Linked DNA regions of Caenorhabditis elegans. The protein of the gene in region 1 purifies or fractionates together with the protein of each later gene. This does not show direct contact. Each region holds a gene or a part of one and is shown on either strand. Other genes may lie near its edges. The genes, in order: nck-1 and unc-34.

The links.
Region 2: the proteins of nck-1 (region 1) and unc-34 purify together in Caenorhabditis elegans (affinity purification with western blotting, with the first as the bait; one study listed by BioGRID). This does not show direct contact.

What each region holds. Positions count from the first base shown.
Region 1 is NC_003284.9:4,148,087-4,155,534, reverse strand, and holds nck-1 (NCK (Non-Catalytic region of tyrosine Kinase) adaptor protein family), read left to right. Parts: upstream 1-2,091; 5' UTR 2,092-2,115; coding exon 2,116-2,232; intron 2,233-2,860; coding exon 2,861-2,992; intron 2,993-4,777; coding exon 4,778-4,855; intron 4,856-4,912; coding exon 4,913-5,227; intron 5,228-5,268; coding exon 5,269-5,439; intron 5,440-5,508; coding exon 5,509-5,694; intron 5,695-6,274; coding exon 6,275-6,469; 3' UTR 6,470-6,882; downstream 6,883-7,448.
Region 2 is NC_003283.11:980,772-985,800, reverse strand, and holds the start of unc-34 (WH1 domain-containing protein), read right to left. Parts: upstream 3,096-5,029; coding exon 3,091-3,095; intron 2,991-3,090; exon of another isoform or gene 2,895-2,990; intron 706-2,894; coding exon 326-705; intron 1-325.

The DNA.
Region 1 (7,448 bases):
TCATTTTTAACAACATGCACCTATTTGTATTACAAACACCCATTCTTCTGATATCTTATTCATCCATGATTCATACTCACTGGTAAATTGAAAAGACTCTGTGTTTCCATGTGAACAGAATAGTGAATAGAGTGAGTAAGGGAAAGTGAGAGAAAAGACAGAATAATTGGTAATGGTTGAACGTTGTTATTGTTGTTGTGTCCCTCCGTCCACTTCTTCTACTTTTCTTCGTCTTCAGCTGCTGCTAATACCCGCGCTGGTTGGTGACGGGGGGCCCCCCTAGATATTTATTCTCCGATGACCAGATTGCTAAGTGTCCCTTAAAGGATCATCTTGTTGTTATTTTCAATTCCCAAGTAAATCCTTCATCTATCCCCCCACAAACCATCTCGTCGTTCCAGTCTGAGATTTGAGCCAGATTCGCAAATTTTCCGCACATTATTTTGGCAATCCGTCTTCAATCTTTTCTCTCTTTTCTCCGCATTCCAATGCATTATTTCGGCCCCTGTTGGCCCCCATTCAAAACCGAAAATTCCCATCATTTGTCATTGACTCTTGTCCTGTCCGAAAATGTGTGTGTGTGTGTGTGTGTGTGTGTGTGTGTGTGCTACGAAGAAAACGATGGGGCTCTTCCAACAATTGTTGCCTACAATTGTCGGTTGTTTTTCCTCTGCTTTTTGTTTCTTTTTTTCTTCTTTTCTTCTTTTGCAAAATGGAGCATAGTCAATTACGTTTCTGGTTTGAAAAGGAAAATTCCAAAAAATTAAAATTTTAATATGAAAATCTGTATTTCTAAAATTACTTAATTGTGGAATTTAATACAATTTGGAGTCTCGTCAGTAAGAAATGTATTCAAACGCTCCTGTTGTTCTTTTTCTAAGTGTGGCAGTTTAATGTGTTGACTGAAATTTTAAAAATTCTAAAAATTCTAGGCCATATTGAACTACGATGGGTATTCTTTTTCGACAAGCAGGTATATTATAAGGCATTTTCTTTTATAATATAATTCAACCAAGTATCAAAAAATCAAAATTTAAATTAAAAACGGTATATAAGTATATAAGTTTGTAGGAGACCCTAAAAAAATTAATTTCAAATTAAAACTTTCATCATATTTCCAGAGCTTGAAAAAAGTTATTCTAGATTTGTAGGAAAAAGAGGTCTGAAAAATATATAACAACTTAACTTTAGCACTTTTGGGGGTAACATTAAATCCAGAAGTATCAATATATTTTCAATAAAGGCCTTACAATCCTAACTAAAACTTTCCCCATTTGCGTGATTTTCCCCATTTGGAAATGCTTACAGGCGCAAATAAAATTTGCCTGAAACCTGATTTTGCACTTTCAGAGGAAATGTGGGGTTTCCTATTGGTACTTTGGCTGGAAGTAATTATATGCCAAAGCCAGGCATCTGAATTATTTCCATTTTCCCATTGAGCCATTCGAAAGTGCACCCGTCTTGCTGAAAAATTCAAAGGCATCCTGACTCATAAGTACATCTGCCCAACTACTGCAGTTATTTTCTCGCTTGACGCCTTCTAACAAAATCCTGCTTACCTCGCCAACTTTTTATGACTATATTCATGTGTTTGCTAACTCCATAAAATAGTATTATTGAATAGGCAATGCTGCCCGCGTTATGCTACTTATTATTCACATCTCACCTTTTTCATTCTTCTTTTTTTGTCATACTTGATACGGCTGTGTGCTAATCTGAAAAAAAAAAGATTTTTGATACTAACTATAAGTTTAATATTTTTCATAACTTTCGAATCAATAAAAAAACTTTCCGGAACCCGTTCATGACACGCTTTGACCTACCAACATCCAACAGCCTAACTGACTTCTGAACAGATTGACATTGACCGATATATCCTAGAAAAATGTGGCGTACGTCGTCAGTGCGCCTTCTTTTTCTTTTTTCCGCTCACTAATGTTGATTTTATCAGGTGTAGGTGTAGTGAGGAGGTAGAATAGACGACGTCAATTACGAGTTGCGTATCCATCCCCTATTCATTTCATTTTCCCACTTGTTCTCCTCGGTTTTTTGCTATGGATTCGCAATTTTTCTCACCAAACCACTTTACAGGGTGTATTACATCGGACATTTGAAATGTCGGAGGACTATGTGGTCGTCAAATACGATTATTTAGCACAAGAGGAACAGGAGTTGACGATAAAAAAGAACGAACGGTTAAAGCTGTTAGATGATAGCAAAAACTGGTGGAAAGTGAGTTTTTATTGACGGAAAACATACTGAAACTAATGGTTAAATGTGAAAACAGTTTGATCCACTTTTCGAGAACTCTAAAACACTGTCGCATGTTCAATTCCCTGCTATATTGAAATTTTAATGTTTTAAGCATAATTAGAACATTAAAATAAGAGAAATTTATTTTAATCAACGACTTTTTGGGGAAATCTACATATTAGTAAGTTCTCACCACTTTTTGACTCGAAATAAAAATGTTCCAAAATTTTTTGAACAGTTTTCTATAATATTTGGTTATTTTAGCATCATATATAAATTTACAATTTTCTCTTTTCATTAAACATCCAGAAAAATTTATAATTTTTTCAAAATTTTCAGTCAACGTTTTGGTCGACCATATTTTGCACATTGACTGCACATTAAAATATTTCAAAAAACAATTCTGAAGAGTTTCATTATGATTGTTGGTCATTTTAGCAACATTTAAACAAAGCTTGCACTGACATTGCTCCACATCTCAAAAAAAAATCCTGGTACCAATTAGCAAAACTACTAATCAAAAAGTGTTCTACAAACCTTAATTTTTTTAAAAATAAATTGAGCCACTTAACGTTGTTTTCCCTCGGATCAAAACCGTTTTCTTCAGGTAATGAACGATTCAAACAGTGTTGGATTTGTGCCTTCAAACTACGTGCGAAAAGAATCAATTGTGGACAAAGCAAAAGGAACAATCAAGGGCTTAGCGCGAGGTCGCAACCGATCCTCAGATCCGGAGCCGGTGAGTGTTTCGTTTTGTTTTTTTTTGTTACAAAAACCCATCTCACTTCCAAAAAAAGCGCCAAACTGCCGCCACAACTAAACGAAACATAATCGACTGTAATGTCGCACTCTCAGTTTTTTTTTGTTTCCAAATGCCAAAACCAGTCTTCACGTGGAAGATTTGTATTTACACAAGCGCTTCCAGCCGAAAGCAACAGTTTGAATTAACTTCTAATTAGAATTGCCAACAGATACTTTATTTCTTTTAATTTTAAGGTACATTAAAACTAGTTTTGATATACTAACTTTCTTCCCAGAACATTCCAGTTTTGTTTCCTTATCATACAGCAAACAAAATCGATTTTTTGCTCCGTTTGTAATGCCATAAAAGTTTCTAGAATGATTTGTCATATTGGGGCAGGAATATTTCTCGTTGTCGGTTTTTTTATTGCAATTTTTATGAAACTAACTAATAGCATTTACAAATTTAAAGTTAATTATTTTAAATATTGTAGCTTCCATTAAAAATTGATATAATAGCCCAAATTCTAGTAAAAAATGATTTTGTCATCACCACAATAACTAATTGAGTGTTTTGCGCGTAAGATACTGCGCATCGTCTGAACTAACAAACTCTTCTTCCCCTGTTTTCCCAGGATTATTGATTGCTCGAGACCGTCCAAAAAGACCTCGCCGCGCGTTCTCCCGTTCTCCTCGCCGTTTTGACAGGTTCGTCTGTTTTTTGCGTTTTCCTTCCTCCACATAAAATACTTTTTTTGCTTTTCTTCTTCTCAATATCAAAACGGCACGCTCAATTTTTCGAATCATATTTTCGAATCGAAATATGCTGAACTTTGTGAGGCAAAAACTCCGTAATAAATGACCGAAACCGTTAATATTTGCATGTGTGTGCAAGCGGCGCATACTATCATTGCCCTGTTATCACACACACACACATACATACGGCTCTCCCGCGACAATGTATTCGGCGCAAATGAGACAGTCTCGGTATACAAGAGCGCGCGAAATTTCAACGCTTCCTATGTTTTTCCGTCTTGACGATACGTTTCAATCGCCTGAGGGCCCCTCCCGCTCTTCACCCCCTAACCAAAATCGTGTTTCGATGTGTGGGGCGCTGCATGCACATTGCCTACGAGCTCAACCGCTCACTTTGTTTGCATTTCTGACTGAAGGTAGCGGGTTGAGTCTGTGCTGCTGCTACTGGCCACGTAGCGCCTCCAAAAAAAAACTTGGAATTTCCGGCTTCATCAAATTTGTTTTTTTTTTCGCCGTTTAAGATCACGTTTCTAATTAAACTGTGAGCTTTCTAGGCGGGAAGAGCACTTCCTTATCGATTTTTCTCGTGCCATAAGACCTCCTTGCAATAAACATCTGCGTCGTCCCTCTAACTTGCCGAACTTAATACTTGTGTTAGAGCCCTACATTTTTTTTAAATAAATTTATTTGAAGTGAAAATTTTATTTTTGAATTTTGAGGCTTTTTGATTAGGATAGTATATTTTCTAATGTAAGCCAAAAAAAAAAGAGATTTCACATAACGATACACTATTTCTTTTGTGTTAGAACTCTACATTTTTTATAAAGTCAATTTATTTAAAGTGAAAATTTTATTTTTTTGGAAATTTTGGAAAATTGAAATTTTTTAGACTCCAGATGAACAAATTTCGTAATGAGAAAAATGGTTTTAAAATTTCTATGGCGCTTCAAAATTTTGAAAAAAAGCTCAATTTAAGCGAAAATCTCTAATTTTAGTACTTTTTTTGTTGTTGAAATTGATTTTTCAGGAGGAGCGATTAAACGGCATCGCGCGTCTAGCGTTCAGCTTGAATAACAACTGTGCGGTGACACCATCATCCAATAAGGTTTGACAGGCTTTTCAATCATAACTTATTTTAATCCGCCAACGTTTTTTTCTTCAGATTCCTATGATGAGCTCGAAAACGAAAGCTGTGGTGAAATTCACTTACGAGCCAAGACTTGAAGATGAGCTCGGTCTCACAAAAGGAGATTTCGTTTATGTCGTCGAGAAAAGCACAGATGGGTGGTGGAAGGGAGAAGCACCGAATGGAGGAGTCGGATGGTTCCCGTCAAACTATGTGGAGGAAGTTGAAGCTTCGACAAACGGAAATCAGGGAAGCATTGAGAACCGAAACCCAGCAGCTGCAGCAGTTCCAGCGCCCATAATGATGCAAGCACCACCGCCGAAGCTCCAGGCGTCACGGTCTTCATTTGAAGTAGGATTTACCCCAATGCAATTTAATAATCATTTTCATAGATTCAGGTCGTCGTTGCATTGTACTCGTTCGACGCATCATCATCTGAAGAACTATCGTTCAAAAAAGGAGAACGGCTCGAAATCGTGGATCATCCAGAACATGACCCCGATTGGTGGATGGCGCGCAACGCCAGTGGAACCACAGGGCTTGTGCCAAGAAATTACATTGAGGTAGTGCATTTAATCGCCTAAAAATTCCGAGAAAAATTGCCCGAATCTGAAACAATTAGAACATTTCAGGTGGTCAACGACTCATCATCCAGCAAAGCTTCACATCAAGATTTCGCACCGCAATATTCAGGAAACGGAGAAATTCCGATGGAGCAACAGCCGTGGTATTTTGGACGCATCTCGAGGGAACGTGCTGAAGATCTTCTACTACATGGTCGTGAGGGAGAGTTTCTGGTCAGAGATTCGGAGAGCAATGTGAGCATTTTTTGGAATTTTTCAAACGGTGTCTTTCCAAATAGTCGCAAGCTTTCAACCATTCCTAGCAACTTTAGAAATGCCAATTTCAGAAGTTGCAAAAGTTGGTTGAGAAGTTGTGGGATACTAAAGTTGTTCAAACAGTTGCCAAAGTTGGTGAAGTATAGTCACAAAGTTGCTAATATTGGTTTTAAAACTAAAATCGACGAATAAGGAGATTCAAGTTGTTTAAGAAGTTGTTAAATTTAGTTTTATTTTAAACTTAGTGCAAAAAAAATCCAAAAGAATGAAGGCTGGCAAGAGGCTACAATTAGTTTAAAAATGGCAGCAAATGACCGAGATACTACGAAATTAATTACCAAAATCAAGGACCGCAAAGGAAAAAAAAACGTTCTAGCGTTTGATTTGAACATTTTCACTCCAAACTATATATTACAGTTAATACGCTTTCATTCTGATCAGAATACAATCTAAATTAAAATCAATCTTCATTGACAGTATCCCATTTGAATATTGCTAGGAAGACAATACCAAAAATGGATATTTTCAACCATTTAATATTAAATTCAATTTTTTTCAGCCTGGAGACTTGTCGATCTCAATGCGCGGAATCGAACGCAACAAGCATTTCAAAGTGCAAAACGTGGATGGTCTCCTGAAAATTGGAAACCGAACGTTTGTGGACATGAATGCTCTTATCAATCACTACACAACCAGCCCAATTTTCTCGTCGCCAACGGAGAAGCTGTTTTTGACCGGTCCTCTTCCCAAGTAAACTACTTGTTCAAAATTTCAATGCAATATTCTTATAAGCTCATTCTTAACAATTGTTGTTTTCTTGTCTTCTTTGCAGCAATCCATTTTTTTTCTGGACAAAGCAAGTGAAAATCTCTTTCGTCATTTCTATCACTAGCCCTGTGTTTAGATATGTTTACTGATTTGCCATCCGCCGTTTTTGATAAATTGAACGGTTGATCACGGTTTCAGATATATTTCTCATTTTTTCTTTGGTTCTTTTTCTTTTCATTCAAGTTTGTAATTTTATCAAATAATTGTCCTTAACTCACACTTTCCATTCATCTCTTCTTCAATTGTCTTTTGCTCCACTTCACAACGCTGCGTTGTTTCAGAATATTATTTTCAATTCCAATTGCCATATGTGATAACTGTAAATGAATTTTCAAGTGGGCATATTTCAGATTTTTTTAATTGTTACAATTTTTCAGGTTTCAATTTTTGTACAACGCGATTTCCGGATGTGAAATGAAACATGACATTATTGAAGGTTTTTATAAATATTTTTTAGAGTATCCGAAATTCTTCACATTTTTGTTGTTAAAATTTTAAATTTATCATAAATTCAAAATTGGAGTTTTTTTGCCAATTATAATTTAAAAAATTGACCAAAAAAGCTTTTAACAATTTTTTACTTTGTAGCGGTCTGAAACTGTGGAAATGCTTTACATTTCTTAAATTTGCCAAAATTTTAATTAACACATTTTGAAATAAAACTTTTAAACAAATTTACCAACATTTTTCTAGCGGTTTAAATTTTTGAAAACAAGGTTAATAACTTTTATTTGATTGTGGTTTTAATTGTAAACTGGCAATTCATCTCAAATTATTTTGTGGTAGCAAACTTGTAAATTTGCAAACAAGCTAATTTGTTAATCGGCAAAAAAAATTGAAAATTAATAGGTGGTAGTTTTATTGTTTATATTATTAATTTTATAATGTTTTATATTTATAGTTGG
Region 2 (5,029 bases), on another chromosome or scaffold:
GTGCTGCACCCCATTTTCTATTGAAAAAGTCACTTGACAGTTTCGATATTTTTGGGTATTTTTTGTATATTTTTGATGATTTTTTGATAATTTATGGGGTTATTCAAGTAGTGTCGGAAAATTAAAAATTGTAGAAAAATGAGCAAAAAAATTATACGTTTTCTGATGTGTTTCTGATGAAAACTAAACATAAATTTTATACAATGTTATGATGCTTCGTTTTTCCGGAAAATCGATAATTTTTTATTTTCGATTTTTATCTCTGGTTAGGTTTTTTTATATCTTGGGATTTTTGTCGTGTGAAAGCTATATTTGAAAAACGCACGATGCATCTGTTGATAATCACTAATTCCATTCATATCATGAACTTTCAACGTCTCAATCGCCTGTAACACAATGCTTAAAAACATTGTCGCATCCTGTTCATTCTCGAAATTCAGCCCATACACCCGCCGCTGTTCGGTACGCCATTGATGAAACATTGGTGTGGCCTTGTGATATTTGATTCCTCGATAAATATTACAATTCAAGATATTCGTGCTGTCAGCGCGGTTGGATACAATCCGAAACTCGGGTCGCCGAATGTCTTGGATTAGGCGAACATTTGTCATTGAATCATCATTTCCGCCGAGTAGTACCCATCCTTTTGTCGATTCGTTGTAGGTCATCACTCGGGCCATTGCCGTCGCGATACATGCTTCGCTACTGGAAAATTTGAATTTTTTGGTGGGAAAAAATGAAACTAAGTTCTGAGAATGCGTATTACACAACATATTTGACGCGCAAAAAATCTCGTACCGAAAACCACAGTAATTTTTTTAATTACTACTGTAGCGCTTGTGTCGATTTACGGGCTCGAAACTAATTGATTTATCGAACCGAGCTCGTATATCGACACAAAAACTACGCATTCTCCGAATTTCGTGCACATGTAATATGATTGCACTAAAAATCATTTTTTCAAAATATACTTGTTTCAAAAATGACAAGAAAAAGTTGGTTTTTTTTCGGTGGCCGGAAATCGAAAATGTTTGGCAATTCGACTAATATCGAGGTAAAAAGTGTGAAAAAGTAATTTCTATCATCATAGTAAATGCGGTTTTTGTGGAATTGTAACTTTTTTCACTCGCAATTTAATAATATGACATTCTCAGGGAATTTGAGAATATTTTCGATAATTCGAAAGTTGGCGAAATTGAAGAAGGTAAAAAATGAGATTTTTGTCATCTTTTAAAAAAGGTTCGGATCAACTTTTTGCACAAGTTGCGAATTTTGAGCTCTTTCAGATGTAATAGAACCGACCACTTATATATGCGAACCTACTAGATTTTCGAAACTTTAAATAATGGTATCTGATTAAAGGTGGTGTTGCAGACGAAATTTGTTATTGCTTTATTAGACTCAAAATTGTTTGAAAACACCGAATTTTATAATGAAACTTCTCAAAAAAAAGTTATGGCGGCTTGAAAAGTGACCTAAAATTAGTTGAAATTCGAAATTTGACTTGTCACAGCGACTGGAAACTAACTTTTTCGAAATCACCTTCAAATTTTGAGTATGCAATTCAATTATCTTGCATTTTCAACTTCATTTAGGTATAATAAAGTCGGGAGTTTTCCAAAATATTGTTTCCAGCCGCTGCGGCATTTTTCAAATTTCAAATTTCAACTAATTTTAGGTCATTTTTCGAGCGGTCATAACTTTTTTTTTGGAGAAGTTTTCAAGAAGTTTCATTTAAAAAATCGGTGTTTTCAAACAAACATTTGAGTCTAATAAAGCAATAAAAAAAAATCGACTACACCACTTTACAAAAAAAATCCAATCACTCTCTAAATTTCCACTCAATTTTTATTGTTTCTCATTTCATTTAATTTTAGTCTCGTCCCTCTCTCGGAGGTCGAGCCGGACATGATAAGTGGCAGCAATTGGCACGGGCTCTTTTCACTGCTCATCCAGTTCTCTTCCTTCTGCTGGACACTAGGTATTTGTGCAAATAGGAACACACAGCATCACCTCACACACACACAAAAAAAACATTAGAGAGCTTCAGTGTCAACATTACAGTCAGACGCTGTGAATCAGTCAAAAAATGGATTTTTGCTGGGTGGTAGATCGCGGAGACACGGGGGTTCTGGCCTTGCTCATTGAATTTTTCGCGCTACATTGACAATCGTCCGCCGGACAACGCGTGGAAAAGTGTCGTGTACTCCACACGGACAAATACATTTAGCTTTACAACTAAAATCGAGCCGCAACGAGACACGCAACGCGCCGTAAATCTACCCCAGATATGGCCGAGCCAAAATGGCCTAGTTCGGAAAACTCTTCCATTTCAATTTATGAGGGAAGCCAGAAATCCGTGCGGAGAGTAGCGTGAATGAAAATTTCGCTTCAAAAAACCCCAAAATAGTCTCAAACTGAATTCCCTTCAAAATGAGAACAGCGACCAATCAGCGAACCGCTCCGCCCACTTTTGAACCAATCAGAATGCTTGTAGCTACTGATTGGTTAGAAAGTGGGCGGTGCGAATCGCTGATTGGTCGTTGGTTTCATTTTGAAGGGAATTCTGCTAAAAACAGTTTTTTTTCAATTGTCTGCATTCAAAGGAGCATTCCTATTAGGTCCCAGCACGAAAAAATTGGCAAATAAATTTTATAACTCGTGTACTCCCCGAGGAGCATGCAAATTTTTTTCTGAAAAAAAATGCTCCTCTGTGTCGATTTACGGAGCTCGTGTACTCCACGAGGAGAATATCGATTTTTGAAAATTTTTTTTACACTCAATTCGCGATTTTATCAATAACTCATAGTATTTTGTTCAAAATTTTTATAATTTTATGCTGAAAACAACGAAAATACGTGAAAACGATCAAAATTTAGCGAAAATGGTCAAAAATCAAGTATTTTAGCGCCAAAAACTGGCCTAAAACATAAAATTCACACTTTTCCTCGGGAAGTACACGAGCTGCGTAAATCGACACAAGCTCGTGGCCGAACTTTTGCAATTTTTAGGCCAATTTTTTGGTTTTTTTTTTCAATTTTTTTTCAAATTTTCCCATAAAAAGTTCCCCATCTCCATAGTCATTATTACCTCATTCTGGCTCAAAAAAGTGCAATCTAATCTCCTTTTGCTCTTTTTGCTCAAAAAAGTGCACTTTTACGGCAGATTTTGTGTCTTGTCAACAGCAGCAGCAACAGCAATCGGTCAGTGTTTCACGCATTCGAAATGCAACGGCAAAAATTTTGAAGTTTTTTGGTGGAGGTTTGGCTGAAAAATGAGAATGTGAGAAGGGAAAAAACAGAAAAATATGCATTTTTTATGACGAAAAAAAGAACGAGATTTATAGGGAAAAATGTTCGGGGAGGGGAAAAAATCGATTTTTCAGAAAATTGAATTTTCGATTTTCTGGAAAACCTTGGAAAAATCGTTTAAACTTTTTATTAAATTTTGTTCATTTTGATCTCTAAAAAGAGGAAAAAAGAGGAAAATGGACAAATTTGAAGCTATTTTTCGAGAAATCTAGTTTTTTTTTCAAAATTTCAGAAAATCGGAGAAAACATTTGTTAAAGAATTTTTGAATTTTTTTCAAAAAGCGGGAAATTTTTTTTTAGAAAATTTTTAAAAAAATCAATTTAAAAAAAATCGATTTTTAAGATTTTTAGGATAATCGAGAAATTTTTTTTGGAATTATTTGAAAAAAAATCGAAAAATTATCGATTTTTCGTTGGTCGGAATTAATGATTTTTTTCTAGAATTGGGAAAAATTTTGTTTTAAAAAAGTTTTTTTGTATTTTTTTTTTACAGATTTTGCAAATATTTTTTCAGCAAAGTGTGATATCGATTTTTTTAAAAAGAAATTTCTGAAAATCGAAAAAATATATTTTTTGAACAATTTTTTTTCAAAAATTGAGAAATTTTGGTTTTTTCAAACACTTTTTGACACCTAAAAATCCGTAAAAAATTATTTTCAAAATTTGGTAAAATTTTTGAAAAAAAAAGTGCTGTTTTTGCTTTGAGCTCAAAAGTGTGCAATGAATCAAAAATTACTTTTTTGATTCAAATTTTTGGTATTTTTGTAGGTTTTTTTCATTAAAAAAATATTGCCCATCAATGGAAAACATTGTAAAAATTTGCCAAATTCGTTTATAATTGAAAAACTAAATAATTATTTTTGATTGAACTCATGATTTTTGTTTTAATTTTCAAACAAAAAAAACTGTGAAAACCCCGCGAAAAAAATGGAAAATGCTCTAATAACTGTGCAAACAGAAAACACAAAAATATCAAAATTCATTGTCTGTTGTGCCGGCCATCGTTACAGTGAGAAACCCGAGAGAGAGAAAGAGTTTCCGAGTGGGAACAAAAAATGGGGAAGGGGTGAGAGTGACGAAACACAGGCTGATGGAGACCGTTTCCGGAAACGAGTTGCACGGGGGGGGGATCATGGTTTTTTAAACAACAATAAAAGGTAGTTTCTTAAATTAAAACTTCTAAGGAAATCGCTTCGAGACACAAGAGATTAGATTTCGAATTGTCATAAAAAAGTGAATGACTCATTGTCGTCGTCGTCTCACTTTCTGTATGACGAACAAAGTGCAAACATGCAGTGTGTTCAATATACATTTGCGTGGGCAATATATTTATTCAAATTTTTAAGTTTGAAAAAAACACTGTAGTTTAAAGGCGCACGAAGACACGAAATGGCCGAAAAAGCCCAGGAAGTTTTGAGTTGAAAACCCCTATAATTTCGTTTTTCAGCTATGTAGAAAAATGTTTTGATTTTTCAAAAAGTATCTTAAAATTTTTGTTTTTTTGTTTTTTCATCGACATGAACAAAAATTCAATTTGTTGAAAAAATTCAATTTTCTGAACTTTTTTTTTCCGATTTCTTGATTTCCCCCCCCCCCCCCCCCCCCCCCCTGAAACAAAAAACGATACATCGAAAAATGGCCCCATTAGTCTGAAACTGAGAATGCGTATTGTACAACACATTTTACGCGAAAATCGTGTTGTCACGTGGTGTCAGAGT